2 linked regions of the Tamandua tetradactyla genome follow. The protein of the gene in region 1 binds, or shares a complex with, the protein of each later gene. Links are inferred from orthologs where the notes say so. Each region holds a gene or a part of one and is shown on either strand. Other genes may lie near its edges.

Region 1 (15,272 bases):
GTATCTAGTGGGGCAAGGATGTAGCTAAACATTCTACAATGAACAGGCCCAAAACGTCAAAAAAATGCTGAAAAACCCTGCTCTAGACAGTGAGCAGTTTAACAGCACAATCTATCTTTCCACCTTTTACTTGCAAAGTGTCTGAGATATAACTGATTATCAAGTGGTTAAATGAATTTACTTTACATGTAACTCACACTCCCTGCTAGTTTCTACTTTCCTGTTTTTAAATCCTATGTTGTGTTTCCTGGCACGAACCTGGATCCCTAAATAATGACTTCCGTACCCATGAGCAAAAATAATTTTTTCCCAAATTTCCAGACCATATCATTTTTTGATCCTGTATAGTATGTATGTCATAATACGTAAGTCATATAATTCACCTTTATATCTATAACTCTGCATTTTGTCTACCAAATGAGTGAGCAAAACACCATTTGTCAGTGTATCTAAAACTTAATTTGTGGTGTCATTACTGCTATTCACAAATACTTCAAATCTCTTTTTGTTTACTGACCCCTTTGAAATTAGGTTTATATATGTAATTTGCTTTTAGCTAATTGAAATCTGAGCAGTGGTGATGCTAGTCTCTGGGGAAAAGGGGAAGGAGAGCTTGAAAAACTGTGTTGTGATCTACATCTATACACAACAATATGAATGAATCTCACAAACATAAATTAAGTGAGGGGGAAACTTATGGGGTTGAATCAAACAAAACTGCATTTGCGGAAGTCAACAGTCAACTATCAACATTTTCATATGGCTCAACCTAAAACATAGCTTGACTCCATTTACATAAATAACAAAAACTGGCAAAATGAAATCTACATTGTAGAAGTCCAGATAATGTTTCCGCTTGAGGTGGAGGGAGGGTGATAGTGACTGGAAGGAAACTAGAGGGCAGTCTGTGGTGCTGGTGGAGATGATAATCTGCTTCTTGATCTGGGTACTGGCTACCTGATTGCATTCAGTTTGGAGAGTCATCAAGATGAGCAATTAAGACTTATGTACTTTCCTGAAAGTATATTGTACTTAATAAACAGCTTAAAATTAAATTAAAAAACAAAACAGTGTGCTCTTCACTGCATTTCCTCCTGACGATTGTGGTGACTGTGGAAGGAAGCTTAAATTTATACTGAAGCCCTCCAACAGCTTGGAACTCTGTGACTGCACCAAACATGACCCTCCTACTTAGCCACACTAGAAGAGACTGGGTGAGGAGATGGAGTACAAAGCCCTCACCCTACTATCTCCTTGTACTATTAATGAAACATGAGTTAACCACTAACATTTTACATTTTTTTGTTAATACATTATATCCTTGCTTATCCTGATTCACAAACAACACAAGGTACATCATTATGTGTATCACTAAGGAAAAATGCTACCAATTAAGTATCACAAGGCATTGATTGTACAATGTATCTTGAATTCAGAGATCTTACAATACGGAAAATTATAAGCACTGGAATCAGTGAAATATGGTATATGTGGTGAATGAATGAATGTGGAGGAAATGGTTTTCAAAAGTTATTTTCATTCATTTTCAAAAGAAACAACGTGAATTAAATGTGCAAGAAAAACTCTCAGCCATTTGATTCACAATAGAACATATAAAAAAACAACATAAGAGAAAGAATATATAAAGACTGTAGGTCTAAACTTCAAAATAAAATTTGTGAAATTCTCATTTTTTGACAATGGCCACAGGAAGTTATGGAATGTGTTAAAAGAGGTCTTAAGAAGACCAAGACCCTATTTTCTTTGACATAAATAAATTTCTTGCAATAAATGACTGCTTCAGGTGATACGGATTTTAGGTCATAAACACAAAACCTGTAGGTCAAGTTTTCCCATCATGCTTTTCAAAGTTAAAAATCAGTTTGTATTCTGTTTCTACATACTATGTTCTTGCACTGAAATGTAATGTTCTATTTATATGACTACCCTTATTTTATGTAAAAATAGTTTCCAAATTCACTGAAGAGGTACTACAAATTTGCTATAATGTGCAGTTTGAAAAATTCCACCAATGTTACAGCTGCTATCAAGTTCCTGTTTGCTGTAGGAATGTTTACATTTTATTGGTACAACAACAGAATTCATTCATCTACAGAATGAAGTTAGGAATATTTTCCTCATTATTAGCTTAATGTAAAACTCATTTTACATTAATTATGATGGACTACAATGGTGGCTTACAAGGTTTTTATATACAAACAGAATTCCTGAAGTCAGTTATCCATATATAGTGAGGGGTAAGTATATAAATTGCTTATAAAGAATATTAAGCTTATGTAGTGATTTCAACACTAGCCAATATCACCTCTTGTACCTCAAAGAATGCCAGGAATTTAACTTGATTATCTAAATTTTAAAAATCTATAGCACCAAATGAAACATTTAATTTAGAAATGAAAAATTTAGGACTGCTGGAATTTATCTTAAAAACTTACCATGCATTATATGCTACTAGTATTTTTCATAAAACCATTGTGGTTTCTCTTAATTCTGTGAATTTATGATTTTTTTGTTTATTTACTCACTGACCCATTCTACTTATGACATGTAGGAAAATGATGAATACGTTATTCCTACAATTAGGGGGTGTGATAGTACTTGCTAAACAGGTAAACAACTATCATACAAGACTGGTATTTAATACTAATGATGTGTCATAGGAGTTCAGAAGAGAGACTGAACTAGCCATGTGTGACTTGAGCTAAATCTTGAGAGATGAGTAAGATTTTCATCTTTGAAAAAAGAGGGACAGACTAAGGAGCAGAACCAATGCTCAAAGTGGATGAAAAGTCAGAAGCAGAGAAAAATAACCACCATCTATTTTCAGAGCCACTTACAGGAAAAGGTACTTATTATATTCACACATTTCAGAGGAAACTGAGGCTGAGATTAACTTGTCCAAAGTGCTAGAAACGCACTATAATGCAGGTCTCTTTGAATTCACAGCATGATTAAATAACAGTATGCATCTAAAATGACAAATCTACCTAGATTAGAATGGAATACAAAGACATAAATATCACTTTCAAGAGTTGGGTTTCCCTGTAAAGGCAGGAGAGGATTCAGCCACTAAAAGTTTTGAGAGCAGAGAAATGGCTAATGAAAGCATGGCTTAGATAAGGAAATTTGAAGATTTAGCCTAGAACTTCATTTTTTTAACCTTATTTTCTTCTCTTGAATTTATTTCTTCCTTATCTGTGCTATCCCAGAATAAGTACAATCAATTGGCATTCCATTTGTACACTAAAATACTGATTACCAAATAATAAAAATTATCTGGTTAACTTAGAGGTAATAAACCAAATATTAATATAAATGAATTCACTTTTCAAGCAAGAAATAAATTACTTGTATAAGAGACATTTTGATGATAGAAGTGACAAAATTTAGAAACTGACTGTAAAGTACAGGGCACAGGGTAAAAAAGTAAAGCTGAAGTTAAAAACCTGAGCAACAGGGCTAATGGGAATAGAGAAATTAAGAGGAAAATGAGCAAGAGAGAGATTTCTATCCCCTTTTGTAGGTGGGGAAGGTGGAGGAGTTGGTTCTACCTAAGCATATCTCATTAACAGTCTTCAGTGACCAGTGCTCAAGAGAGAAGTTAAAGCTAAAGTCATGGACTTGAGAAACTTCCACAAAGTTTAAGGTATGTTCTAGCCACATGAACATCACTCAAGTCACTGGAGGAACATGGGAGGTGTTTCAGGAAAAAAAAAACATCTTTTCCAACCAATGACTGTCTTCATTTTAGAGTTTGTAGTGACTTCCTGAATCTTCTCATGTAGAGAGAGGTCTGGTAATGGTCTTTATTTTATGAATTTCAAATCTAGTAAAATGCTTTTCTGTACAATATAACTAGACCAGGAATGGAAAACTTGAACTGTTTCTGGCCGAAAGTTTCTATAACTATGTTAAAAAGTCCGTGGGACATGCTACTGCGAATGAATAATGTTAAAGAACTTCTCTGTGCTTCTTCAGCACAGACTTATTTCCTATTAATCCAGTGATCAAAGATGAAAAGATTACATTGCATTTCACTGTGGTATAACTGAAAAGCAAACATGCATGAGTGAAAAAAAGTAAAGATATTATTCTAGATTAGTTTCTAAAATGCTTTCTGCCATAAGACATAGCATAAAACTTTAAAATACGCTAATAATAAACTTTGCCCTAAAGTGATAATAACACAAATTAAGTTTAGAATGCAACACTTTAATTTTAGTGTTTAAAATTTTTACTAAAACCAAAAAAGAATCATTGTTTTTCCTTTCTTGAAGTATGTTGCCAACAAATTAAAAACAAGAGACAAACCCAAAAGAAGGCCCTATAATCAACTGTTTGAGGCAGCATAATGCCATTTAAGGAGAGAGTACTTAAACTCAAACTTCGTACTCAGATAAATTTGGGTTTAAAAACATCACTTCTGCCACTTCCTATCTATGCGTCTTTGGGTAGAATTAAAGCTTTTGAAATTTCACTTTACTTATCTATGGAACAGTTATAATACCTACCTCAAAATTACAACAAATTAAGTAATATATGTATTGCCTAACTGAACCAGGCTTACTGTACAGCACTACATAAATTTTAGCTTCCCTTCCTTATATATGCAATTGATAATGGGAATTCCAAAAGCTTGAAAGTATTAAAATTTTATTTATGAAAAATTATAAACAAGATGGCAGAAAGGGTAACATGATTTAACGGTTAGTTCAAAAATACTACTTTTAAATCCTCTCCATTTATGACCCATAACCTCCTCCCCGATAAAAAGACATTTAGGTAACTTAAAGTAACAAGAATGAAATTTTCATTCAATCAGTTACTTAAATTTAGCCCAAAAATTTGGACAGTGTTTTTCTTAAGTTAGTAAATAAAATAATAAAATTCATATGTGAAATACCTACAGAACATTCTTCCAAAACTCAAAAACAAAAAACAAAAACACAAAATTCCTTCAAATTGGAATTTTCACACATCTACTCATAAAATATTGTGCTAGGTAAGATTAGAGAGTAAGACCCCACTCTTTACAGAGCTTAGTGCCCTAAAAGTGTCAGATAATAAAAGAATCTCATCATTTCATTTTCAAAAAACTTCAGCAGTTTAGTTCTATGCAACACATGGCTCTGTATTAACTCCCACACCAAGTACTTTCTCCTCAGCTAGATTTCTAGCCACTTGAGCTACTGAGCACCACTTAAGAACAGTAAAATAAAAACGTGACAATCTTTTAAAAAAAAAAAAAAGCATTTTAGCACTACATGACTTGAAACATGCATATAAGTGTATTTTCAATTACCAACTTATGACTATTTATCAATGACACAAATGTGAATCCTGCACAGCAACTTCTGTGGATAGAGATCTGCCTACAAAGTGATGAAGGATTATGGAGAATTGTTGTCTCTCCATTTTGTTGGGTTTGATCATCATTTCCACCACAGAGCACAGAGAAACAAAGATTTCCAAAAATGAAGATGAGGCAGACTTCTGCATGTTCACACCGGAAGGGAGACAGAACATTACATTTCGACACAAGGATACAAAGATATAAAAACATATGGAGCAGAGTTCCAAATGAAAATATCCTTAGCCCTACTTTAGGATTTCTTAAATACCACAATGCAACTGCATGGCTGTTAACTGCCTCGAAACTTAAAAATGAAGCATTGATAAAAGCGGACATTTCGAAAATTCTAACTACTTTATTGATCTGTTATGTCAGCTACTACTGGGTATGAGAAACGTCAAGATTCTCTCAATACTCAAAATTTAGAGTCCCCTCCCACCCCCATCCCCACTTGGGAGAATGGGCCTCACAGTAGCCAAAGCAAAGAGTGAATGAGAGAACTAGTTCAATGATCAGATTTCTTATTATAAATGTCTGCCTGAGAACTTAGTCGCTCATCTGGTTGCATTTGTCACACATTTCATACACAGTAGAATCTTTCCCTTTCGGAATAAGTACCAGCAGGAAGACGGGGTGCCACCAGATCAGTCCCTAGGAGGGCTCTCGTCAACCTGGCCAGGAACCAACTATGGGGGTGGGGGTGTCGAAATCTTTTTAGGAGCAACTCCGCTGCCTCCCAGGGAACACGGGAGCTGCAAAGGCTACAGCTAAAGCAGAAAAGAAAAAAAGAGAGAGAGAAAAGAAAAGACAAACAACAACAAAAACACCAACAATAAACCTCCACAGGGAATGGGAAGGAAAAAAAAAAAAAAAATAGCAGAGGGCCCAGAAAGGAAGCATTTGCTTTGGGCAGCAGGGAGAAAGGAGGTTTGCTTCGTAGGAGACTTTTTTTCCATTTAGCCTTCACCCCTCGCTACTCTGTAAGGCCCGGCTGTAGGGCTGGGAACTGCTCTTGGGCCGCTCCTGGGTCTGAACGCAGACCCCTATGCAGTCCCCACACAGGCCAGGGCCCCGCGACTCCCACCCGGGTCCACAGCCCCGGCGGCGCCGCCCTCCGCCCGCGCACCCGCCCGCAGCTCCCAGCGCCGCCGCCACCGCCCGGATCCTGCTTCCTATTTTCGGAGCGCACACCCTAGAAGGAGCGGAACGATCAGGCCAGGCAAAGGTCTGTCTCCCGCGCGGGGCCTCCAGTGACTGACAGGGGCAGGCACAGGAGCGCAGGGAGGAAAGAGGAGAGGAAGGGCACGGAGGGCACAGACCGATGGCCAATGCCCTTGCCCAGCCACCAGACTCCGGACTGACAGGCCCGGCCTCTGCTGGCTCCTGGACGGATGGCTTCCGTCGCCCCCGCGGCTCCTACCTTCTCCTCATCAGACAACTGCTCCTCCAGATCCGCCATCTTCCTTCTGGCGACAAACCGCGGTAGCGGCGGCAGCAGCCACCTGACTTCCCCCTTTCGGTGCAGTCCTCCGCGCCGCGCGCCCCCGCCTAGGGAGGAGCCCGGCGCCTAGGCCGCCGCGCACGCGCCGCGGAGCCCAGCCTCCCTCAACCCGGCCCGCGGGGAAGGAGCGCAGCGTCGCGCATGCGCGGGCGCCTCGTAGGCTAGGGAGGGGGAAGGAGACGCCTACCGCCGCCTGCTGCAAGCTTGTCAGCCTCGTGAGTGCAGGCTTCTTTCCTCACCAGTGACCATATGGGCCCATCCTGCAACGAGTACATTCTGAGCCCTTGATTATGTTCCCCTCAAGTGCTGAACTCTGCCAGCCAAAATGTGAAAAAGCGTACGAAAGAAACTTTTTAAGCATTATTTTTTTTTAATGATTATTTAGCTTTAATAATAGGCACAACCCGGTCCATAACTGGAAGGTTGCTCATAATACATTTATTTTTTTCATTCATTCAACAAATATTTATTGTTCCTTTATTGTGTGCCAGGTACTGTGTTGGTCTCTAGGCATATAAAATGTTAAACAAAACCATAGAAAGCCCTATTCTCAAGGAATTGCAATGTTTCTATTCATTAAGCAAACATACACTGAGCATTTGGGAAGGCACTGACTGTAGTCTCAGGGAATACAAAATTATGTTAGAGGTGAGTCCTACACTCCTGAATAGGCTGCCAAATTAAATACAGGACACCCAATAAATTTGAATTTCAGATAAACAACATTTTTAAAGTATAGCCCATGAAGCATTGGGGACATACACTAAAAAGTTATTTATTGTTTTTCTGAAATTCAATTTTTACTGTGCATCCTTAATTTTATTGGCTTAATCTGGCAACTCTGCTCCTGAGGCTTCAAGTTTAGCAAGAGAGTGAAGGTGGACTCAAATAATAGCAGTACAAAATGCTACCAATAAAATTCTATGGAAGATTCAGAATAAATCACTTCTGGTAGAGGGCAAGATTAGGGACTATATCATGGACACGATAATTTTGCTAACAGCTATACCTTAAAGGCTGGAGAAAATTAAGACTTGTGCTGTAGGGAAAAGGGATTCAAAATACAAGAGACAATAAGCAAAGACAAAGAAATAGGGGAATCCTAGAGTATGTAGGGGAGCTAGTAAGTAACTCTAGGTAACTGAAAGTTCAGTATATTTAATCAAAGTTGAAACAAATAAGGCAGGAAAGGAGGCTCTTGCTAAAGGGTTAAGGATCTTGTTTGCCCATCTCCAGTGCCTCTTAATCAAATGGGAATCTTGAAATGCAGTTGCTGATTCTTTGTGTTTGAACTCGAGATTTTGCATTTTTAACAAGCTTCTAGCTGATGTCAATGTTGCTTCTCCATGGACCACACCTTAAGTAGCAAGGCCTTAGAATTTAGATGGAAGTTAGAACTTTATTCAGTAGAAAATGAAAAGCTGTTGGTAACTTTTGTGAACTGGTATGACTTGATCAGAAATAGCCTAGCAAGATGAATCTGACAGCTGCATGAGAATACGTTAAAGAGTTCAAATAACTGTACAGATACAAGACGCTACTATTAAGTAATTTACGGAGTGTTCATAGTATGAATATTACTTGTAAATGCAAAGCAAACAGGGGCCATAATATTGAGAGGTTTACAGTCTGGGCAAAGAACAGGAAAAGAAAAAATGCTGACATCTGCAGGAAAAAAAAGCAGGCATCCTGTTGAGGCTAAAAGGTAGAGAGAAGTGAAAGAGCATAAGCCATGCAGTTTGGCCAGGGACATCACTGGATGTAAATAAATGACGTTTACTGTTTTACAGTTTGCAAGGCATTGTTTTCATTGATTATTCAGCATTAAAAGTGTTTTATTTTCATTGATTATTCAGCATTAATACCCGTTTTGCAGAAAACTGAGGCTAGACGATTTGTCCAAGGTTGCACAGCTCCAAGTGGCAGAACTGGGATAGAATCCAGGCATCTTATTCTATCTTTCATTTTATTTCCACTGCAAGAATTTTCTTTCTCCCTCTTTAAAATCTGGGCACTCTTCCCCAATTAGATTATTCTATCACATTATCAGTTCTATTCATCTGCCACCTTCTACTTCAACAGTACTTCTGGGTTTTTTTGTTTTTTTTTTTAATTTCAGGTTTTTTTCTGTTTACTTAGCAACCCCTTATATCAATAATCTGTACAAATGTATACTCAGTAAACATTGTTGCTTCATTAATTGGCCATTCTCTTCCTTTAAAAACCTCACCCAAATCTGGTAGTGTTTCTCAATAATTTGAGTCATGTTTATAGTGGTAACCTTGGTGATACTTTACATGGTTCCCCATGGTGACACAGCCAGCAAGTATGTATGATTTCTAATCATCTTTTCAGTAACCTCTCGATGTCACCCTCTTGATAGAGTTCAAGAGGAATTATAGAATTCAAGTAACTCAGGAATCCTGGAAAGATTTCAGGCAGTTACATTTAGTGGGCATAAATATAGAATGACCTTTATAAGACTTTGAAAAGAAATTGCACTGGCATTTTTGAAAATTAGCACTTTTTGGTGATGAAAAAAGAAACAAATATTCTTCCCATGCTCAATTTTACATACTGAGTGAGCGTTACCTACCTTTTTCTCATTTAATTTTCGAAACTCACCTTTCTTTTATTGATTAACAAAGTGATCTTAGTCTTCCCAATTAACAGCACCAGAATCTGATTTTTTTTTTAAGTTCTTCCTTTGGCAGTGATTATTTTTAACTTACTTGTAACTGTTTTGATCTCTTTTCCTATGGATGTGCTCTATGTCCTCAAGTAGGTTTAAAGCTCTCCAAGGTCAGAGGTTACCTAATTTCCTAGAATCACATTCTTTGGGTTCATCTAGTACCACCCTCTTATCTTTAGGCCAGCAAATTGAGCCTCAGATAAATTAAATATCTTGACCAAAATCACACGTCTAGTGGATATTATTTTGAACCCTAGTGTCCTGACGGTAAGACTCATGTTTCTTTTTCATCATATAATGGAAACATGTAATACAAATAATAATGTAATATATAAGATGATAGGTACCCAATAGGTAATGTTGACTGACCATTAAATGGTTACACAAGATACAAACATCTGTAAGACACTATTTAGTTCAATATCTGCACTGGAAAACTAATACCTTCAGTTTAAAATTTTGACTTCTGAAAAAAATTACTGGTGTTAGACAACTGATATCTGGTTGTTTGTTACTATCATGCTCACGTTGACATGACATTATTATGTCAAATAATGTCTTTTATAGCAGTGGAGAGGTGTGAAAAAATCATGCATATTTGAAAAACAATTGTCTTTCTAAATAAAATAATTGCTTGAACTATTGGTTCCTTATATTTGAGTAAGTGTGTCTTACTTTTGTCCATTTCCTCAGTTAGTTTTGAAAAGGTCCCTGCTAAGTGCCACCCCTGGAGAAGTTATGACATGAATTACTCTAGAGCTACCAAGAATTACTGAAGCATCTCCTTCACCTGAATATATTTCCTTTATAGTTTGTTCCTACCAACCTTGAAAACAAACCTTGGCCACTGTCTCATATGCACATGCCAGTGGAACACACAAAGCTACTGTGCTGGTTTGAATCTGTTGTGTACCCCAAAAAAGCCATGTCCTTTTGATCCTTATTCAGTATTGCTGGGTGGGAGCTTTTTTGATTATCCATGGAGATGTGACCCACACAATTGTGGGTGGTAACTTTTGATTAGATGGTTTCCATGGAGATGTGTCTCCGCCCATTCAAGGTGAGGTTGCTTACTGGAGCCCTTTAAGGGAGAACCATTTTGGAAAAAGCTTGAGGGTCCAAACAGCCAGAGACCTTTGGAGAGGGAGAAGGAAAATGCCCCTGGGCGAGCTTCATGAAACAAGAAGCCTGGAGGGAAAGTTAGAAGATGTTGCCATTTTCGCCATATGCCTTTCCAGTTGAGAGAGAAACCCTAAACATCATCAGCCCTCTTAAACCATGGTATCTTTCCCTGGATGCCTTGGATTGGACATTTCTATAGACTTGCTTTAATTTGGAATTTTCACAGCCTTAGAAATGTAAACTTGCAACTTAATGTATTCCCCTTTTTAAAAGCCATTCTTTTTCTGGTGTATCACATTCTGGCAGCTTGTATACTAGAACAGCTACTTATGCATGATTCTCTCTTATGCCTCTTTCAGGGCTCTTTTTGGAAGGAAAATTGGGGTGTGTGGCTAAAAGAAGGGGAAATGGAAACTAAGTGGGAGTAGAAAATGCCTTATATTCTCATTTTCTTATAGAGACTTGATCTTGACCATAGCTTCTTTCCGTAGACGTGGGTTGGGGTTGGGTATAATGGGTATTACTCTGGAGTCAGAATTTTTCCTTCCTTTCAAGGTTATGGTCAACAGAATAATGGCCTCCCAAAGATGTCCATGTCCTAATTCCTGGAACCTGGGAATATGTCAGAATCATGGCGAAGGGGAATTAAGATAGCAGATGGAATTAAGGTTGCTGGTGAACTGACATTTAAATAGGGAAATTATTTTAAATTAGGTGGGTGAGCCAATGTGATTACAAGGTCCTTAAATGTGGAAGAGGAAGGCAGAAGAGTCAATGTCAGAGTGATGTGTGGGGATCGAGGGCTAGGGATTCCCCTACATATTGAGAGCAGGTCATTACACATAGTGGCCTACATGGCTGGGACAGACATTAAAGGTCATCAGACATCCTCAGGGGAAAGAATGTACAGATAGTGTGGTAAACAAGGCATTGAAACTCCCCTCCCCTGATGACTACTGATAACAAAACTCCAAGCCCCTGTGTCACGTGACCCTGTTGAAACTGTGTCATACCGTATGAAATTTCTTTGTCCTGAACCCTTATAAGCAGTGTTTTGGCACTCCCACCTTTTGCAGAGCACTAACCTTCATTTTCCACGGCCAGCCACCACTGTGGAAGATCCTCTCCTGTTCGTAAGTCCTAATAAAATTCATGTCTAACTCCATGCCTGATGTATCCTTTGGTCTTTGGGCTGCCCTGACCCAGGAGCTGGGTTGGAACATGATGTGATGTGAGAAAAAATCAACTGGCCATTGTTGGCTTTAAAAATGGGGCAAGGAATGTGGATGGTCCCTAAAAACCAGAGAAGGCAAGAAAATGGAAGGGAAATAGCTTTGCTGATACTTTGATTTTAGCTTAGTGAAACCCATTTTGGATTTCTGAACTCCAGAACCGTAAGATGATAAATTTGTGTCATTTAAAGCCACTAGATTTGTGGCAATTTATTGCATCAGCAATAGGAAACCAATAACGATGATTAGCCACTGTTCTCACAAAAGTTTGCATATATTGATTCTTGTTTTGATATGTGTTTTTTCCCATGAACACTATCATAACTGTATTTCTTACAAGCTCTTTGGGTTAGAGACTATATTATATTGATAGTTATGTTTCGTCATTAAGAATAAGGACCATCATGTACTATGTTTATATTTGTTGGATTGAAATCATATAGAATTGGTTCCTCAAGAAAAGAGATTCCTGAAACCTGTCCTGCTGGCCTTTCAGATATGACTGGATATGATAGAATTAGGTATTAAAGTTAGGGTTACAAAAGGACATTGTAAGTACCTAGCTTACAGCTATGCTGCTACGATATAGTAAGACTAGATATTGAACACTTGAAACATGGCTACTCCAAATTGAGAATATGCCTAAGTGTAAAATACACACACACTATATTTTGAGGACTTACTAAGAAAAAAGAATTTAAAAGCTATCGATAATATTTTATATTGATTATATGTTGAAATTATAATATATGAAATATTGAATTAATAAAACTATATTAAAAGTATTTTCACCTGTCTCTTCTTACATTTTTGATGTGGCTACTGGAAAATTTATAATTATATATGTGGCTTTGCAGTATAATGAAAAGCTTGGCTGTTCTTTGTCTTCAGTTCCCAGGGAAGCAACCTCTGCATCTTTGGAATTTCCTGTGATAGGAGTGTCTTTTGTTCTTCTTGGTGGGTCTAGGACCACACCTGATAGCTCATGCTAACCAGACGATAGGGTGAGGCCAGACACAGCTGCAGTCTTAGGGTGGTTTTGGCCCCACCAGAAAGACCAACAGTGCATTAGGGGATTGAGGCTTTTTATATCAGACCACCTCCCCAACTTCTGGAAGGGGAGGGAGGCTGCAGATTTGTTCAACCAAGTGGACATTGATTATATTAATCTTGCCTACGTAGTAAGAGTCCACAGAAACTCGGGATATCGGATATCTGAAGAGCTGCCATGACTGAGAAAACATATCTCTGTTCCAGAGTTTTGATTCCACGGGAGAGGACACAGAAGCGTGTGCCTGAGATCCTCCCAAACCTTGCCGTATCTTTTCTTTTTTTTCTTTTTTGATGTGTTTTATTTTATTGAGAAATAGCCACACACATACAGTCCAACCATATTATACAATCAATGGCTTGCAGGATCATCACATAGTTGTGTATTCTTCACCATGATCATTTTTAGAACATTTGCATCACTCCAGAAAAAGAAATAAAAAGAACTCATACATTCCATACTCCTTACCCCTCCCTCTCATTGACCCACAGTATTTCAATCCACCCAATTTTTGGCCTTTATCTCCCCCTATCATTTCTTTATCCTTTTTTTTTTACTCATCTGTCCATACCATAGATAGAAGGAACGTCAGTCACAGTCACATTATAAAAGCTATATAGTTATACAGTCTTCTTCAAGAATCAAGGCTACTGGAACACAGTTCAATAGTTTCAGGTACTTCCCTCTAGTCACTCTATGCTGGTTTGAAAAGCCCGAGAAAACCATGTTTTAATCCTGATCCAAACTTGTGGGAGGAACAGTTTCTTTTAATCTGGATTCAATACTGTAGGTTGGAATATTTTGATTAGATTATCCCCACAGAGATGTGACACACCCAATTGTACATCTTTTCTTTTGGCTTCTTTTTATTTGTAGCCGTTTACTATAATAAAACTATAACCCCATAAGTGTAGCACTTTCAGCAAGTTCTGTGAATTCTTCTGGCAAATTATCACTGAGGGGGTGAGAGGGAATCTCTAAGTTTTTAGCCAGTTGGTCAGAGGTGCCAGTGGCCTGCGTCTCCTCATTTGTGACTGATACCTGGAGGGCAGACAACTGCTTTTAACCTATGGAATCTGGGAATCTGGAATTCTGGAATTCAGAATTGAATTGACTGAGTGCTTGGCAGCCCTTTGCAGTTGATAAATTGCTGATACCATTATAGTTGGTGTCAGAAGCTGTTGTCTGAAGTTGTGGAAGTTTTTGATACCTGTACAGGCTTACATTGTGTCTTGTATTATATTTCTGTAGGGTAGCATTGGCTTAAATCCTTGTTTAAGGATCTCTCCTGCATTGTAACTTGGAAGTGCTTAGTTTAAGCACCCCCAAAAAAGTTATATTAGTGGTTCTCAGCTCTTAGGCACATTAGAATCTCCTGTGAGGCTTCATTAAAATTGATGTTGCCAAGGCACCCCTTGCAGAGGGACCTTGCTATAACATTAGTTTAATGACCGGAAATGAAGAATGCATTTTGACACATTTAAGCTTAAAGGAGTTGGAAAAACAAATAAATAGAATGAGCCAAGTCTCACACATGGATATACATCCACCCCCTCCACACGCACACATACAGAGTAATGTTTAGTTAATGGATCATTCATCCTTGATGTACCCTTTATGTGTATCATTATATGTATTTTATCACTTCAATTTTTTTTTGGAATGACAGACTGAAATAAGATCCACTGGGCTTCCTGAGCTCATACATAATGATGTCTTACAAATATACACAGATCATCATTCATTCAATAAGTAATTAATGGAGCAAGTTGCCAACATTGCACAAGCAAATTTAGGAAACTTAAGAGTAATAGAAAAAGATGCTAACAAGCGTAATTTCGAAAGCGTTTCTATAAGCAGAGAATTCAGGGATGGTAAAATAGAGGTATTCAGTTACTGAGGGACCAGAGGGCGGTGGGCTGTGGCTAGAATGGCTTCCTGGGGGTAGGCACACTAAATTTACTTGGAAGACAATATTTGTGGATTAGTAGAATAGAGAAATGTCAGAGAAAGCAGGATGAGTGAAACACTGGGACAGGAATGAAGCAGATATTTATGGGAGGACTCATAGCTTTTCTTCCCTTTCCTTGACTGCCAAATTAGGAACTAACCCCTAGTTTGTTACAATCCTCAGAAATTGAGGCAGAGAAGGGCTGCCTTAGGGCTGAGGTTGAGGGCAGGATGGACTAGTTTACTGGTAAGGTATGGCTCTGTTCCCGGGAGTGACTGAGACATTATGAAAGAAGTTATCAGATAAGGACCATGGGAATAGCAGTAGGACTAAGGCAGGTTATGCACAT
Region 2 (15,027 bases), on another chromosome or scaffold:
CGGCTGGTGGGCCTGTCACGCCTGGGTTTTGTTTCAGAAACTGCATCACCAAAGCTTCCCTTGTCTGCCCCCATGTCCTCGCAGGCAGGTGGCCCCCCACAGGCAGTCAGCCTTCCTCGGAGAGGGGAGGAAATGTGAGGAGAGCGCTGGCCCCAGGGGCATCTGCCAAAGCCACGCCAGTCACCCCAAAGGCTACGGGAATCCCGGGACTGCAGCCAGAAGCTTGCTGTGAGAGGCCTCCTCAAGAAACCTCGAGCAAAGCTTCCACATACAAAGAATCGTTTGTTGACCTAGTGATGTAAAACTATCACATGAGCCATGTTTACAAGTGTACTAAGAGATACTAATTTCTAGTGTTAAATGTAATGTTGACACACACATAAGAATTATATCGTCTATTCAATCGTCTCCTGGAGTCTTATTATCCTTCCAATAATTTTTACATAAGTATCCTTTACATATTTATTTATATCACCACTTGACTGAACCATTAAATACTGAATACACCAAAGGATATGTATCACGCATACTTAAAATTTTAAATACGTGAAGACTCTTTATAGTGTCTTTAACTTAAAATTGTTTCTAAAAAAAACAAAAGACTGGGCGGGCCACGGTGGCCCAGTGGCAGAATTCTCACCTGCCATGCCAGAGATCCGGGTTTGGTTTCCGGTGCCTATCCATGAAAAAAAAAATTCTACCCTGTGGTAGGAAAACTATTAGGGATTAGACTTCCAGATTTACATGTTCCTATCTTTCAAATTCTCTGTTTTGTTTGGTACATTCTTAATCTGATTCTCTAAAATAAATTAAGTCATTCTCACCACCGGGATCATTCCTGTCAGAAATGGTTCAATTCTGTAGAGGCATTTTAAAAATCAAGGTGCACGAACCTTCATTGTTTAAATAATTCTAACAGTTACTCCTCCTGATGAGTTGTCTCACTGGCCTATTGTGACTGGATGCTGTGTGATGTCCTGCATCCAGAACGTTCTGAAGGATAGGACAAAGCCACAAAAACTTGTGAAGCTTGCATAGTGGTTAAATTAAAAATACTCCCATTGAGGAAGCAAAACAAATAGGCTAAACCAGGCATTTGTTGTACCTTTAAACTTGGCATAATTTTATGGCAAATGTCTAAGAGTTATTTAAAGGTATGAAAAACATAATGGAAATAACTATGTGCAGAAGTAGAGCCCTGGAAGGGCAACCTGCACGGTTTTAGTTCTAATAAAACCCCAGCTCACAGAGACACATTTCTTGGGCAAAGAACCTCAGCACACGCAGCAAGTGCTGTGAAAAATGGCTTTGTTAGGGGAGTTCTCTCTCTGTTCCAAATTCCAGTTCCTTCTCAGCATTAAGGGAAGAAAAAGTAGAAAAAGGAAAAAACAAAAACAAAGGCCACTTTCTTGAGCAGCCCCGACTGTTGCACAACAGGACTGCTGCCCTCCAGCACTGTGCCCACTGTGCCCGCTGCCCACTGTGCCCTCTGCCTGTTGTGCCCGTCCTTCTGGGCTCTGGAATGGCTGTTTTGCAACCAGATGCATTCATGGTATTTGATGTGGTGCAAAAATAATAAAACGTGTGATATCCATGAATTACAGACAGGGCCTCCTGGATTCAAAGTATTCTGAATTAGCCTATGGGTTCATTCTGTGTTTGGACCCTGATGGTCTGGCTCAGAAAGCGATCACTGTGCATCTGTTGTTTGCTGCTCTTAGCTTCAAACATCGGACTCATGCACCAGCAGCTCACCTGACAGTTCTAGGTTATTTTGATAGGCAAGAGAAGCAATTTCATTATGCTAACAACCACTAATTGAGCCTGTCGTGTACTACTATGCACTTCATGTAGTACACATGAATGAGTTTTAAATTTTGGGAGCTGCAGGGTGCAATGAGTGAAAACATTGATACATTAGATGGTGATATATTTATGTGATGGAACATAGCTACAAAGAGGAGGGACATCGAGGGGCACCCAGTGAACTGAATAAACCTTGGCAACAAGGTGTTGTGCAAAATAAGCCAGAAACAAAAGAACACATATGCTAAGATTTCTTTCAGAAAATACTCATAAGAAAACTGGAGCCTAGATTGTAAACTCTTATAGCAGTCACACTTAGTCTGAAGTTTTAAGTGTATTTCTAGATTCTGAGACACTGAGCTATATGTGTATCAGCTGGCATTGCCCTGTGACACCTAGGACTCAGAATGGAGAGCTACAGACCTGAAAGTTAGCATAGCGATATATAATAAGAGTTAAAATAACCAAAAAAGAGATCAGGCCTCAATTAGAGAGAAACACAAAGCCAATCTGGCTGGGTCTAAGGTAAATCAGAACACAGGGTAAAGATGACAGTGTGCGCACTCTAGACCTCCAGCTACTGTACGGCACCAAAGGCAGAGAGGTTTATTATGCATTGAACCTAAATTTTCTGTAACACACAATTTAAATCAACCTGCCTGGAGAGCTCATTTACACAACCCAAACTCCTGGAATCCAGAATGGGAACGAGGTCTTGTAATTCTGTGTAGCTTAATGTAATACCGGTATGCATCTCAGACTATGGTGGGCTGATAGTTAAAAATTATTAGTATTATATAGGAAAGACCCTTGGGGGTCCAAAGGAAAAAAATATGAACTATTAAACTTTCCCATTAGGGAGGCCCTGGGTACCTTCTCAACCACTAGGGACTCCCAAGAACATAGGTTAAGTCCTTAATTTTGAGGCTTGTCCTCATGAAACTTATTTCTGTAGGGGGAATCTAAGACTACCTCTAACAAGGCCTAAGAGTTGCTTCCAGGAAGCCTCTTTTGTTGCTCAGATGTGGGTGCTCTCTCTCTAAGCCCAACTCTGCAACTAAAATCGTTGCCCTCCCTGCTACATGGTATAAACCATTCAGGGGTGAAAATCTCCCTGACAATGTGGGGCATACTCCTGGGGATAAGTCTGGTCCTGGCACTGTGAGATCAAGAATGCCTTACTGACCAAAAGGGGGAAAAGAAGTGAAATGAAATAAGGCATCAGTGGCCTAGAGGGATCAAATGGAGCCAAGAGGCTATTCTGGAGAATACTCTTAGACAAGCTTCAGTTAGATAGTGCTGATTGCCATGGTTTGCTAAAAACCCCAACCAAAATCCCTTCTGTTGACTCTCAAGAACAGCTAGGGCTCAAACTGAGACTCTATCATGGTTCCATGCACTACATTTGCTTTCCTGAAACCTGTAATTCCCAGAGGGTTCCTAGGTCAGATAAATCCTGAAACTCAGAGGGACCAAGATTATCAAGTAATTATGTTCCCCTATCCTTTAGTGTTGACATCCCTTCTCAACACGAGAAAATCAGAACGGGCATTGTCCGAAGATCTGTATAGACTAGGAGAAAGATAAAAGGAGAAGGAGGTATAACAGAGAAAATGGGGTTTATTGACTATGGTTGCTGAGTCACTATGCTAATATTCCTTCTAGTCTCCAGCGTTTGGGAGCAGCTAGAAGGAAAAATCTGAGATGGTGGAATGGGAACCCGCAGCCAGGTGCCCTGGCCCCAGGCCTCCTGCTGGCTGTTGGCAGTATTTCTCAGAACAGGAAAGACAAATAATTGTCATCACATCAGCTACAACAGAAGCTGTTTGTCCCTCTCCGCGGCTGTGATGAATGCCACCCACGTCCTGCAGCACACAAGCCTCCTTCTCTCCCCACGACGTCGGCCGCTGTAACCGAGCCTTGTGAGCAGGTAGTGCTGGGTGCCCCAGGAGAGCAACGCCAGTGTGCACGGCCTTTCCTTTCCTCAAACCAGAATAACCTCTTCCTGCCCCGTCAGCAGACTTGGTTAGGCCTGGAGCTAGTCACCTAGTTAACTGGTGCTAAGGATTTGCCGGATGGGTGAGTGGTGGACTAAAGAGAGGACTTGCTGAGTGACAAGTGCATCTGTGAAGAGGTGCCTATTAACCCGCCGGCACTTCCAATCCCAGCTTCCTGGAAAGGGAAGCCCTTGCCTCATCTTGACAAATGCTGGGATCCCCACTCTTGGGGAACCTGAATGCTGCATCATCCCCCATCCCTCTTCCATTCAGGGAATGCTCATCGTTAGCTGGAGATCATGCAGGGAGCACACAGCATGGCTGGGACTTCCTAACCTCTGTGCCAATGTCACCCCATATTTTGCAGGTTGAAATGCTGGGCATTTCTCCACAATGCAACAGCCATGAGCCAGGTGGAGGCTCTTGGCTGTGGAGACAGCAAAGCCCCGGAGCTCTTTTGGGGTGTCCTTTCCAGGTGCCATGCCCAGCAGGTCCTTGTTTCCAAACCTCAGGAACCACCTGGCGTGCCTAGTTGGCACACTGCCTCTCTAAGTGTCACTGGCTGCTCGTTCTTATGCACAGCATGTTCATATGGACCATGTCTTGTTACATCAGTTTGGGCATTTTCCATAATCAGAAGTAATTACTGATTCAGGTATTGGTGCGATTGTTTCTCTCTGTATTGTCATTTCTCTAAGTTTATTATTTACAGATAGTATCTCTTTTACATAAAATTTTATTGAAATAATTTTAGTCCAGCAAAGAGTTACAAAAATTTACTAAACCTTTTTATTTTTTGTTTTACCTAGTACATCAGTCTGGGTGCAGTCAGGACATCGTAATTTAAACAGGAGAAGGTTAAAAATAAGGAATTATAAAACTACGCTTTAACAGCAACCACAAAGAAGTAAAGAGAAACCTAAAGGGTGCCTGAGGGCTGAGGGAGAGGGCCAACGCTGGACAGCCAGTGGGCAAGCGGGACGGATGCTGTTGGGATGTGGTCCACGACACACAAAACTGTCCCTGCATGCCACCCAGGCCACGTGTTGGGGCTGTATTCACAGTGAGCAACCATAACCAATGAGGACCTACAGTGGGCTTCACTCTGGATGCAGGGAATTCCCTGAAATCGGTGCTCCTGTGCTGGAAAGCAGCCACTGTACTGGGCACAGGGCACCTGACCATGCACTCGGGGGCAAAGGACAACCTGCAGGAACATGAAGTGATGGCTACCACTTTTCAGTAATAAAACCCTCTGCGTCCAATTCACGAGTCTCATGTCTATGGCTGACATCATAACTGCTACCCTGTCAGCATGCAGGGAGGGTAAAATTTCAGACCCTTTGCTCCAGAGGCTCCACAGCTGGTCCCAGGGCACACAGCGGGAGTCGGGGTCACACTGAAGGTGTGTGCATGAGCAATGCAGGTACCACACCAGGTTGCTGTGGGAAAAGCCTTCCCACACATGCAAGTCAAGGTTGGGTGGATGTGCAAAAGGAGTTGGGGAGTTGATGAATGTGCAAATTTTGGAGCACACAGTGTCCACATCAGGGGAGGCAGACCAAGGTGGTCATCAGGCCAAGGTCAGTCTGTCAGGCCACCAAGTGCTGCCCTCTCTGGGCATGGGGCTGGGGCAGAGCACTGGCTGCACCCAGACAAGGCACTGCTGAAGAGCTGCGAGGCAGACAAAGCAAAACACACTACCCCAGAACCCCAAGTCCTCTTCCTCCCGCAATGTTCTTCCAACACCCTCTACCAGCAAAGCTTAACATCATGCTCGTTGTTTCAGCTTGTTGAAGCTGATGAAATGCAATATATTAAAAAATGGACTGGCTTTTAACAATGGGGATTTATTACCTGAGAAATTACAATTCTAAGGCCCTAAAAATATCCGAACAAAGGCAACAACAGGACGAAGATGGGCTGCTGACGATACACAGGGCATCTGTAGGTCCTTCTCTCCCAGGTTGGTGGCTCCCAGGCCCTGGCTGCACTGGCCTCCTCTCAGTCACCCATCTCCGGGTGTGCCCTTGACTCGCAGCCTCTCTGGGGCTTTAACTGTGAGCATCTCTTAATTTTACTTCTCAGCTTCAATAAAGGATTAAGAAGCACCTTGTATGGGTGGCTCATATCTCAATTGAAACAACCTAACAAAAAGCCCAGCTATACCAGGCCTGCCCCACCCGGAATGGAGTGAAAGAACATGGTCCAAGGGGGGCCTGCAGTCTGGGCCGCGGTCATGATGGACACAAGGTGGCCACGACAACCACAGATCTCAGCCTCTTACAGAGGGGGCCCTGTCACAATAAAGAGTACAGCAATGGACGAGGGAAGGGCACACTGTGGCGTAGACATACAATGGGTGACAAGAAGGACTGAGGTCAGGAGACAGGCAGCTAGGTAACGGAGCCTTGAGGAATTATGTGGAGTGAAATAAGTAAAAAATGAGGGGACAAATGCTGTCAGTCCTCACAAACATGGGCTAACTATAATGAGGAAACTCTGAAAATTGAATTCGACAGCACAGATTATCAAGGGAAGAACGAGGACAGAGATTGGGCAATCGACGATTAAGGAGTACAGAATGTTCAGGAAGGCTTACTACAGATGTCCCTACATTTCAGTCAGCCAACCAAAGGAACTGCTAGAGTCTGCTCCGGCTGCACGAGCTAGCACATCTAATCTGGAATCTCTAGCAAGTGTTCCCATGTCAATGAATTTAGTCCTAGACAGTGATATAGTCCACCCTCCTTAGCATAGTAGCACTCGGAACTCAGTCCTATACATGTTCCCCAATTATTCTGGTGTGTAAGTGGTTGCTTCCTGGATCACAGTATGTACTGCTCCTGGAACATGGTAAGATTCACCCTAGCAATGGCTCTAGGGATAGCAGGTGGTGGCTGTTCTCTTGAAGTGTGTGAGTAACCCCTTTCCAGGCACCCCAGGCGAGGTCATCACGGGGATGTCAGGCAGAGAAAGGCTGGTCTACTCAGACACCAGAGGGAAACCTACTTCCAATGGTAAGGGAGTCTCAGGATGACTTTGGGGAGGTCAAGATTTTCAGTTTCATCTAAGTACAAGATGCGCCCATCCCAAGTGTCAAAATCCTATTCTTTCCCAATCAATGCCCTCATTTTCACATGAGAAAATGTAATTTAGCAACTCATATAACTATATGTTTTATTTATTTATTTTTCATGGGCAGGCACCGGGAATCAAACCCAGGTCTCCGGCATGGCAGGCGAGAACTCTGCCACTGAGCCACCGTGGCCCACCTGTAATTAGATTTTTTCTCTCTCTCTCTCTTTTTTTTGTTGCTGTTGTTTTTTTTCTTCTATTTTATAATTAGATTTTCTGTTTGGTTTTTCAGCAGTATCAGCCCTGCGTAGGGATGGCATGGTGCTTCCTGGTTCCGAGACTGCATCTTGAGCTTGTCATGTTCCCTCTGCAAGCACCCAAGTGCCCTGAAAAACTCCATTCCATACCACAGTCCTTTACTTCCATAATGGCCAAGGAGAGCAGCACCTGGGCTCCCCTGGCATGTGCTTCCATCGGTACCTCACCAGGACCCACAAGGCACAACTCAGTGAGTTGTCTGTCAGCACCATGGTGTGCTGGCATCCAGGTGTCTGTTAGCAAGAAGCCAACCATTCCCTAAATTTCGTGATTTTGGACTATCTCCTGAGACCACTTTAAGATCAATTCTGTGTCAGTTCCAGTTCAGACAGGAGACAGAAACTACACAGGATTTACATAGGGCAGGGTAAATAAAAAGAATTATTAAACTATGATAGGAGAGTGACTATAAATATGTGAAGAGAATTCTAAAGGGGGACCTAGGGCTGAAGGCGAGCACTCAGGGAGGGGTAAACCTGGAAGAGCATCTCCTCCCTCCCCAAGCTTGGATTCAGACCTTGATGGGGAAGGTGTAACTCCAGCCCCCCAGATGGGCAGAGAATTTTCCTGTGCCAGAGCTGGTCTAGTCGCTGGTGAGCAGGAAAACTCTCTGGCCTTCAGGTGAACTGAGGCTGGTAGACAGGTTTGCAGAGGGAGCTGTGGCATATCTACAGGCATGATGTCGGGAGCAAGTGGTGTCCACATCAGGGAGTCTCTGATGCTCAGGTGAGTCAAGGTTGGTCGGCAGGTGTGTGTGTGTATGTGGCGGGGGCTGGCGATGCCCCATGGATGTGAGCTGTTCACAGCGTTGCCGTAGGAAAGCCACAGGGCGGTGGCCACCAGGCCTAGGGCTGGGGTAGAGCAGACCAGATGACCTCACACATCAGCATGATGGGCCAACATGGAGCAGGCCAGGGACAGAAGCAGAAGTACAACAGCCCAGCCCAGGGGGAGAAGCAGAGGATGGCATCCCATCCCCAGTCATGTCCTGCCAGCAGCCACTGGCAGGTAGAAATGCTGGCAGGGTCCTCCCGGCACCACAGCAGGCACTGAAGGGCAAGTGTGGAACAGAGAGGCACACCTGCCCTTGTTGTTTAGCTCCACACACTTACTGAGCTGAAAGTGAGGGACAAAGGGAAATTTACACCAGATAAGCAAAGCCAAGGCTGGCCTCCTCACCAGGATAGGTCTGCCTTAGCCTCAGATCAAGCCGGGGATGCTGGCTCCCTTGTTTCTCTGTTAAGGAAGGGAAGACCTATGGGCTGGCTGGTGGTGAACAGGGAGGTCTCGCTGGTTACAAAGGCTATGCTCAGACCGACAAATAACTTCTGAAGCATCAATTCTAAAATACTTTGCTGATCTGCACATTTTCCATTACCATTTCTGTGCATCTTTGGGATGTCTCATCAGATCAAAGCCTCCTCTTGGAGGCTCAGGTCGGTGCAGCTGGAAATAGGCGTGAGCTGAAGGGAGACAGGGGGCTTGGCCTTCACTTTCCCTGGGCCTCGTCTTCAAAACAGAGTATTTGGACAGGGCATTTCCCAGGCACCACCCAACTCTGGCAAGCTGTGACCTTTCACCCCAGGGTAAAGGGAGCGACCTTGGGGTGCAACTGATGTGTCTTCAACTATATAAAACAAGGGTTTTCCTTAAAACTATCGAGTGTCTGTTATACCACACAGCCAGGGCAGCTGCCCCTTCCAGAACCAAGTTCCACGGGGCCTTGCAGGCAAGCGGAAGCCAGGCAAGCTGGCCTGGGAAGCTGGCGGAGATGACAGGAACTCAGTGGTCCTCACCATTGGAAACTAGCCCATGAACCACTTTATCTCCTGCACACGGCCCGTGCTTGGAAGCTTCTTGCACTTGGCTGTACATTTGCTTTGTCTGAATCCATTAATCCAGCTCTCTCTCCACTCCCCACCCTGGCTTTAGAGGAACATCGATATTCATGTAATAAATAAAAAGCACGAACGCTGACTCCCCACTTCCTGCCCCCAGGTCTTTTCCTGCTTTGCCCGGGTTCAGGGCATGCGCTTGGTCCACGCAGCCCAGTGTGCACTGGTCAGCTCCCCGCCCCCGCCCTGCCTGTGGCCCCATTGGCTGCCGCTGCCTGCAGTGGGACTGCAAGGGGGCCGCAGCTCTTCAGCCTGGGAGAAGGAAGGAGAGAGGGAGGCTCCCGTCCCCAGCGCGCCTGTCGCTCAGAACACCCGCAGCCCGACGACAGCAGCAGGAGGTGAGAACAGGAGTAGGCAGCCCCAGAGGAGATGGGAGCAGGGGTGCGAGCTGGGAGCAGGGGGCTGGGTGGTGGCTAGGAGGCCCCTTAGGATAACCGGCAGAGCTGTAAACGTGTCACTGGCCCTCCAGGTTTTAATCTGAACTCTGCAGTCGAGCTTATTACTGCTTTGTGGACATCTGATGACATCCACGCTAGACTGCAGGAGGGCTTGCTGCCTGTGCTCTAAGACTGCAAATCAGAGAAATCTCCAGTTTAATGACTCTAAGTGACTGGTGATATCTTCCCAGAGGAACTACAAATGCTGCTGCTTCTTTAACTCTTCGAGGTGCAGGGCTTTTCTTCCCTCTGGGACTGAGAAGCACGGAGCCTCGCACCATAATCGATTCATCTCCCGCCTCCTGGTCACTACTTTCAGAGCCTGGGGTAGGAAGTTGCTTCTTGGTTTTCTGGTTTCCATCCATTTGAAATGCCAGAAACTACATGACAACGGAGAAACACTTTGCAAATAAATTATGAACAGGATCAAAGAAAGGAGGGTCTATGGTGGGGTTTCACTCTGTGCAGTGTTGCAATTCCTCCAGGAGGAGAGCTGCTCCTGAAGACCCCCACACCAGACGGACTATATAACTGTGCCTCTCAGAACAGCTGAACTCCAAAACTTCTCTTTTCTAATATGAAAAGATTAATGCAGAACATTCATAAAATGGAGTGAGAAGGAAACATAGATACATAATTTCAATTCCTCTTAAAATCATCATTTGTCCCCCACTATGCGGGTTTTTAATGACATGAGAAAAGGCTTAAATTTGAAACAAAACAAAAAAACCTAGCAGGTTATACAAATCTATACTTAGCATAATCTCTGCTATGTAAAAACAACAATGCATAAGAAGACTAGAAATAATTATCAAGTATTTTCATGGTGAGGTTATATGGGTGGTAAGCTTATGGGTTGTTTCTTCTCTATTGCACTTTACTTCTGTATCTTCTGCAAAGCATGTGTTTCTTTGATGATGAGAAAAACATAAACAGGAAAAAGAGAAATAACTTACCAAGTGTCCTGCTTTTTCGCTTTGAGCTTATGTCTTGATGGCTGAAATTACCACACTCTCCAAATCCAGCCCAGTTTTGTAATATGTATCAGGAAGGGTTTATCTATTTCCTCTGCCTGGCGAGGCAGTCTACAGTGGAACTGCACTGATGTCATTCTCTTCTGCTCTTCTGTCTCATCCAGATGCTCTCAAACATGCTCCCACCTCAGATTTATGTCTCAAAAACGAAGAAGTTAAAGCTCTTCTTGATATACCGAACTGCTTTGCTTCTCTTAAGTCTGTTTCTTTTTCATTCCTGATGATTCTCCCCAAAAAGGACCCACAGATGGAAGTATCCACAAGGAAATCTGTTCCCTGGTACTCCTGAGCACTAATCCCCTTAAGAAATAATTTTTTTCCTAAAGTTTTTGAATACTGGGATGTCTCTGAAGACACTCTAAGGAAACTCTCACCAAGATGATGACTAGATGACTTCAGAGGCTACAGCATAACTGGAGAAAGTCCAGAAACCGTACTGATTGGCTTTGTTACAAATTCATACTCTCTAACCTCAACTGGATTTTCACGGCTACTGAGTAATCCTTTTAGCTGTCTCCTCTTAACTTTATATGCATTCCTTACAGCAGCTGCTCCAGTCATTTTCCATTCTCAAATTTCCAAACCGACCCTATGCCCCAATCACCAACTCGTAGCAGCTAACTTCTTTCTTCTCTCATTTTACTGAGAAGATCAAAGCCATCCAATTCTTCAGTCTTTCAATTTCCTTTCTCTATATCTTAATATTTCTCTGCATCTTTACTTTTACTCACCTCTTACCCATTTCAGAGAAAGAAATCTTTACCACCTCTGATTAATCGCTCCATGTGTGCTCACGAGTCCATGCTGTCTCAGTTTCTCTGGGATCTTGCTCTACCTATTATCTGTATTTCACTTACATTTTATTGAGAAATACCCACATACAGTCCAACCATATTACACAATCAGGCTCACTGTGTCACCACACAGTTGTGTGTTCTTCACCATGATCACTTTTAGTACATTTGCATCACTACAGAAGAAGATATTAGAAGAAAAAACTCATACATTCCATACCCCTTACCCCTCCCTCTCATTGACCAGTAGTATTTCAATCTGTGCAATTTTTCACCCTTTATTCCCCCCTTGTATTTATCCTTAATTTTTTATTCATCTGTCCATACCCTGGATAAAAGGAGCATAAGACACAAGGTTTTCACAATTACATGGTCACATTGTAAAAGATGCATTGTTATACAATTGTCTTTAAGAATCAAGCTACTGGAACACAGAGCAACAGTTTCAAGTACTTCCCTCCAGCCACTCCAATACACCATAAACTAAAAAGGGGTATCTATATAATAGGGAAGAATAACCTCTCAACTCTGTTTGAGATCTCTCAGCCACTGAAACTTTATTTTGTTTTATTTCTCTCTTCCCCCTTTGGTCCAGAAAACTTCCTCAATCCCACGATGCCGGGTCCTGGCTCATCTCTCGGAACACCGTTTCCTTTTCAAAAATCTCACTATTCATACTTTACAGAAAAATTACTTATCCCCTTCTCCAAATCATCATGGATTCTAAAAACATTAGGATAATGAAAATGTGGGTTTTTTGTTTTCTTTAAAAAGATCAGTTATTGAAAACCTGGGTCTTATAAAGAATAGTTAAGTACAAAATGTTAAATATTTTTAATGCATCTGAATTATTCTTTCTATATATTTCTGATTTTAGCAATTTAAAAGAACAAAACACAGCACAGTGGTTCTCAATAGTGACTTTGACAGGAAAGCCACAATCAAATAAGCTCACCGCTGCTTCCTCTGGGTTGCTTTCTCCTCGGGAGGCCACCCCGTGCCTGTGCAATGCTCCATCAGTGGAAGCTGCGAGAGCTGATGAGAAAGCTGCACAGCAACTAGGGGCAAAATGAGGACACAAAGACCAACAGCATTCCTAGATCAGATTCCTGATCTTTCCACAGAAAGATAAGACCAAGACAGAATAACTGTAGTCCTCTTTCCTCCGAGGGATGAGAATTCAATAAAAATTTAAACCTTTCATTGCAATGTTTCTAAGAAGTGATGTATTCAACACAGTGATGTACTCAAATCACAAGTGATTTTCTAATGAGATTTTATGTCATTTTAATTATGACTACAAAACATTCTTACTTGATTTGATAGAATGCACGCTCAAAAGTTGTTAAATTTCTCTGCCTGAGTCGAAAAAGTTTTGGGAGACAATTGACACGCCTTCCTTTGTAAAATGTGCCACGCTCCCAGAATTGCACAGATATTCCCTGTGTTAGCAGGCCATGGTGGAAGGTACATGGTGTTAGCAAGGTAGGAAGTTTCTGACTTTGACATCTTCAGAGAAACACTTAGCCCAACACTTGTCCAGCCCATTCGTGAATAATCTGCCGTCCCCTCCACTTGAAAGGGCCCCGCATGCATGCAAGACACTGGGCTGGGCCTCAGCCTCCTGCTGCACTCTCTGCTCCTGCATCAGGCCCACTCAGGTTGGCCATGCTATCTTACAAAGGTATTTTCATTTCTAGTAGGTCGAAGTGCCCCTTATTATTCTTTTGCAAAAATCTCGAGGCATTTCCACCCAGTTTATTTTTACAGATGAGTTTTACAGCTGGTTTTGGTCCTATTCATTGTCCATTGAAAACATCCCATTGAAATTTTTATTTAAGATGATTTAAATTTATATATTAACTCAGGGGAAAGAAGGAGCCTACATTTTATGTCCCTTAGACTCCTATGGAAGGATGCATATTTTTCTTGCTAAATTTATTCTGAGATTATACATGTGTGCACTGTTAGATGAATAGGCTTCTACGACTTTATTTTTCAATTGTCTGATGGCAGAATATAGGAAGCTACTGACTTTTGTGTCCTCATCTTGCCCCTAGCTGCCGTGCAGCTTTCTTACAGCTCTCACGGCTTGCGCTGATGTCCTGCTCACCTGCACGCTAACCCTCAGTCTTGGAGCCTGCAAGGTGTGGCCCCCAGGCAGGAAGCTGGAATCAGTCCTCAACCTTTCTCGCGGCTCTGCCTCTGAATTCCTGCTTTAGTCCCCCAATGCCCCACCCAGAGCTGAAGTCTGAGTGCCCAGGAACCTACGGAGGTGGCCTATAAGGGCAGAACAGGAAGGGGAGGGGAGGCAGGTGAAGAGACAGAGGGGGAACCGCAGCCCCTGCAAATTCCTAGATGTCCTCCGGGGCCGCACCCACCAGCTGCGGCGACCCCCTACCCGTTAGCTGTGGCGACCCAAAGATGGGAACCGAGATCTTCATGTGGGGGGGCTGTGTGGGCAGTACATGAAATGTTTTGTGTGCAGACAAGGCAAAAAGTGTGAAGACAGCACTTTTCCTTTGTGGGCCCCTAGGATGTCTGAGCTGGAGAAGGCCGTGGTGACCCTCATTGATGTTTTCCATCAACATTCTGGAAGAGAGGGCGACAAGCACAAGCTGAAGAAGTCCGAACTCAAGGAGCTCATCAACAACGAGCTTTCCCATTTTTTAGAGGTGGGTCTAGCTTTTAAAAATCAATAGTCTACCCATGCTTTTCCTACTTATAAATCCACCTCGTAGACTTTCTCATCTGAGCTTCCCTGAAGGTGATCTCAGTTCCCTCCAAAAACTTGTTTATGAAAATGTGCCCTCGTCATGGTGGTAGCCTGGAGCAGCACCACTGTTTTTGCTTTGCTGTCCTCTGTCCTGTACACAGTAGGTGCATCAAGGAAAAATCGCGGTCTCAAAGGCAAAAAGATAGGCCTCAACTAATGCTGATCTTTTTCTGAAAACCTAAGGTTAGACTGATGATGGTAGAATGGGATGGAAAATATAACTTATAAGCCACAGCGAACATGAGAAAACTATTAAAAATAAGCTTTTGTTTATGGGAAAAGGACATATTTTGGCTTCTGCTGCATGTTCAACAGACACCATGGTGATAAAAGATAGAAACATTTGCTTGGCAAATGTTTATAGAGCACTGATTGTGTCCAATACCACCAGGACAGAGACCCCACTGACCAGCCTCTGCCTTTGGGCACATCAATGAATGGCAGCGACATACTTGACTGAGGACATCAGAGGCCCGGGTGCCCCACGTGAGCTCCGGAGCCTTTCAGGAGGCTTCACCGAAGAAGGGACTTTGGGTTTTGTCCCTTAACTTGGGAAGCTGATGGAGCATTCCCACGGAGACCTGCCCTGCCCCTAGGTACTTTGCATTCTGGTGTGCAGTGAAATTGTGTCCACACACCTACTCTGCTACTCTGAGGGACTCACTCCCCTACACAGATGGTCTCTGCTGCCGCCAGTCGGCTACCACTCCTTCACCCCCACACCAGCGTCTGCTGCTCTCCAGCCTCACACCCTTGCCATGAACTGTAACCTACCTGGGAATTGATATTCCCTTAGTGCTCCAAACCAAGGCTGATCCATAACATGCTTTGAGCCAGACTGAAGTACTTGCAGTATAGACAGGTGAGACATGTTTCCTGCCAGTGAGAGATT

What was found.
Region 2: the proteins of CAPZA2 (region 1) and S100B are in contact, whole or in part, in a crystal structure (PDB 3RM1), measured with the Bos taurus proteins. The link is inferred for Tamandua tetradactyla from reciprocal best matches to the Homo sapiens genes CAPZA2 and S100B. Residues at the interface, in NP_001013016.1 of Bos taurus: Thr267, Lys268, Ile269, Trp271, Ile274, Leu275; in NP_001029727.1 of Bos taurus: Ile37, His43, Phe44, Leu45, Glu46, Ile48, Lys56, Val57, Thr60, Phe77, Met80, Ile81, Ala84, Cys85, Phe88.

Annotation. Positions count from the first base shown.
Region 1 is NC_135327.1:156,399,234-156,414,505, reverse strand, and holds the start of CAPZA2 (F-actin-capping protein subunit alpha-2), read right to left. Parts: upstream 6,955-15,272; 5' UTR 6,834-6,954; coding exon 6,795-6,833; intron 1-6,794. UniProt on the Homo sapiens protein: F-actin-capping proteins bind in a Ca(2+)-independent manner to the fast growing ends of actin filaments (barbed end) thereby blocking the exchange of subunits at these ends.
Region 2 is NC_135336.1:109,046,099-109,061,125, reverse strand, and holds the start of S100B (protein S100-B), read left to right. Parts: upstream 1-9,223; 5' UTR 9,224-9,432; intron 9,433-13,895; 5' UTR 13,896-13,896; coding exon 13,897-14,034; intron 14,035-15,027. UniProt on the Homo sapiens protein: Small zinc- and- and calcium-binding protein that is highly expressed in astrocytes and constitutes one of the most abundant soluble proteins in brain.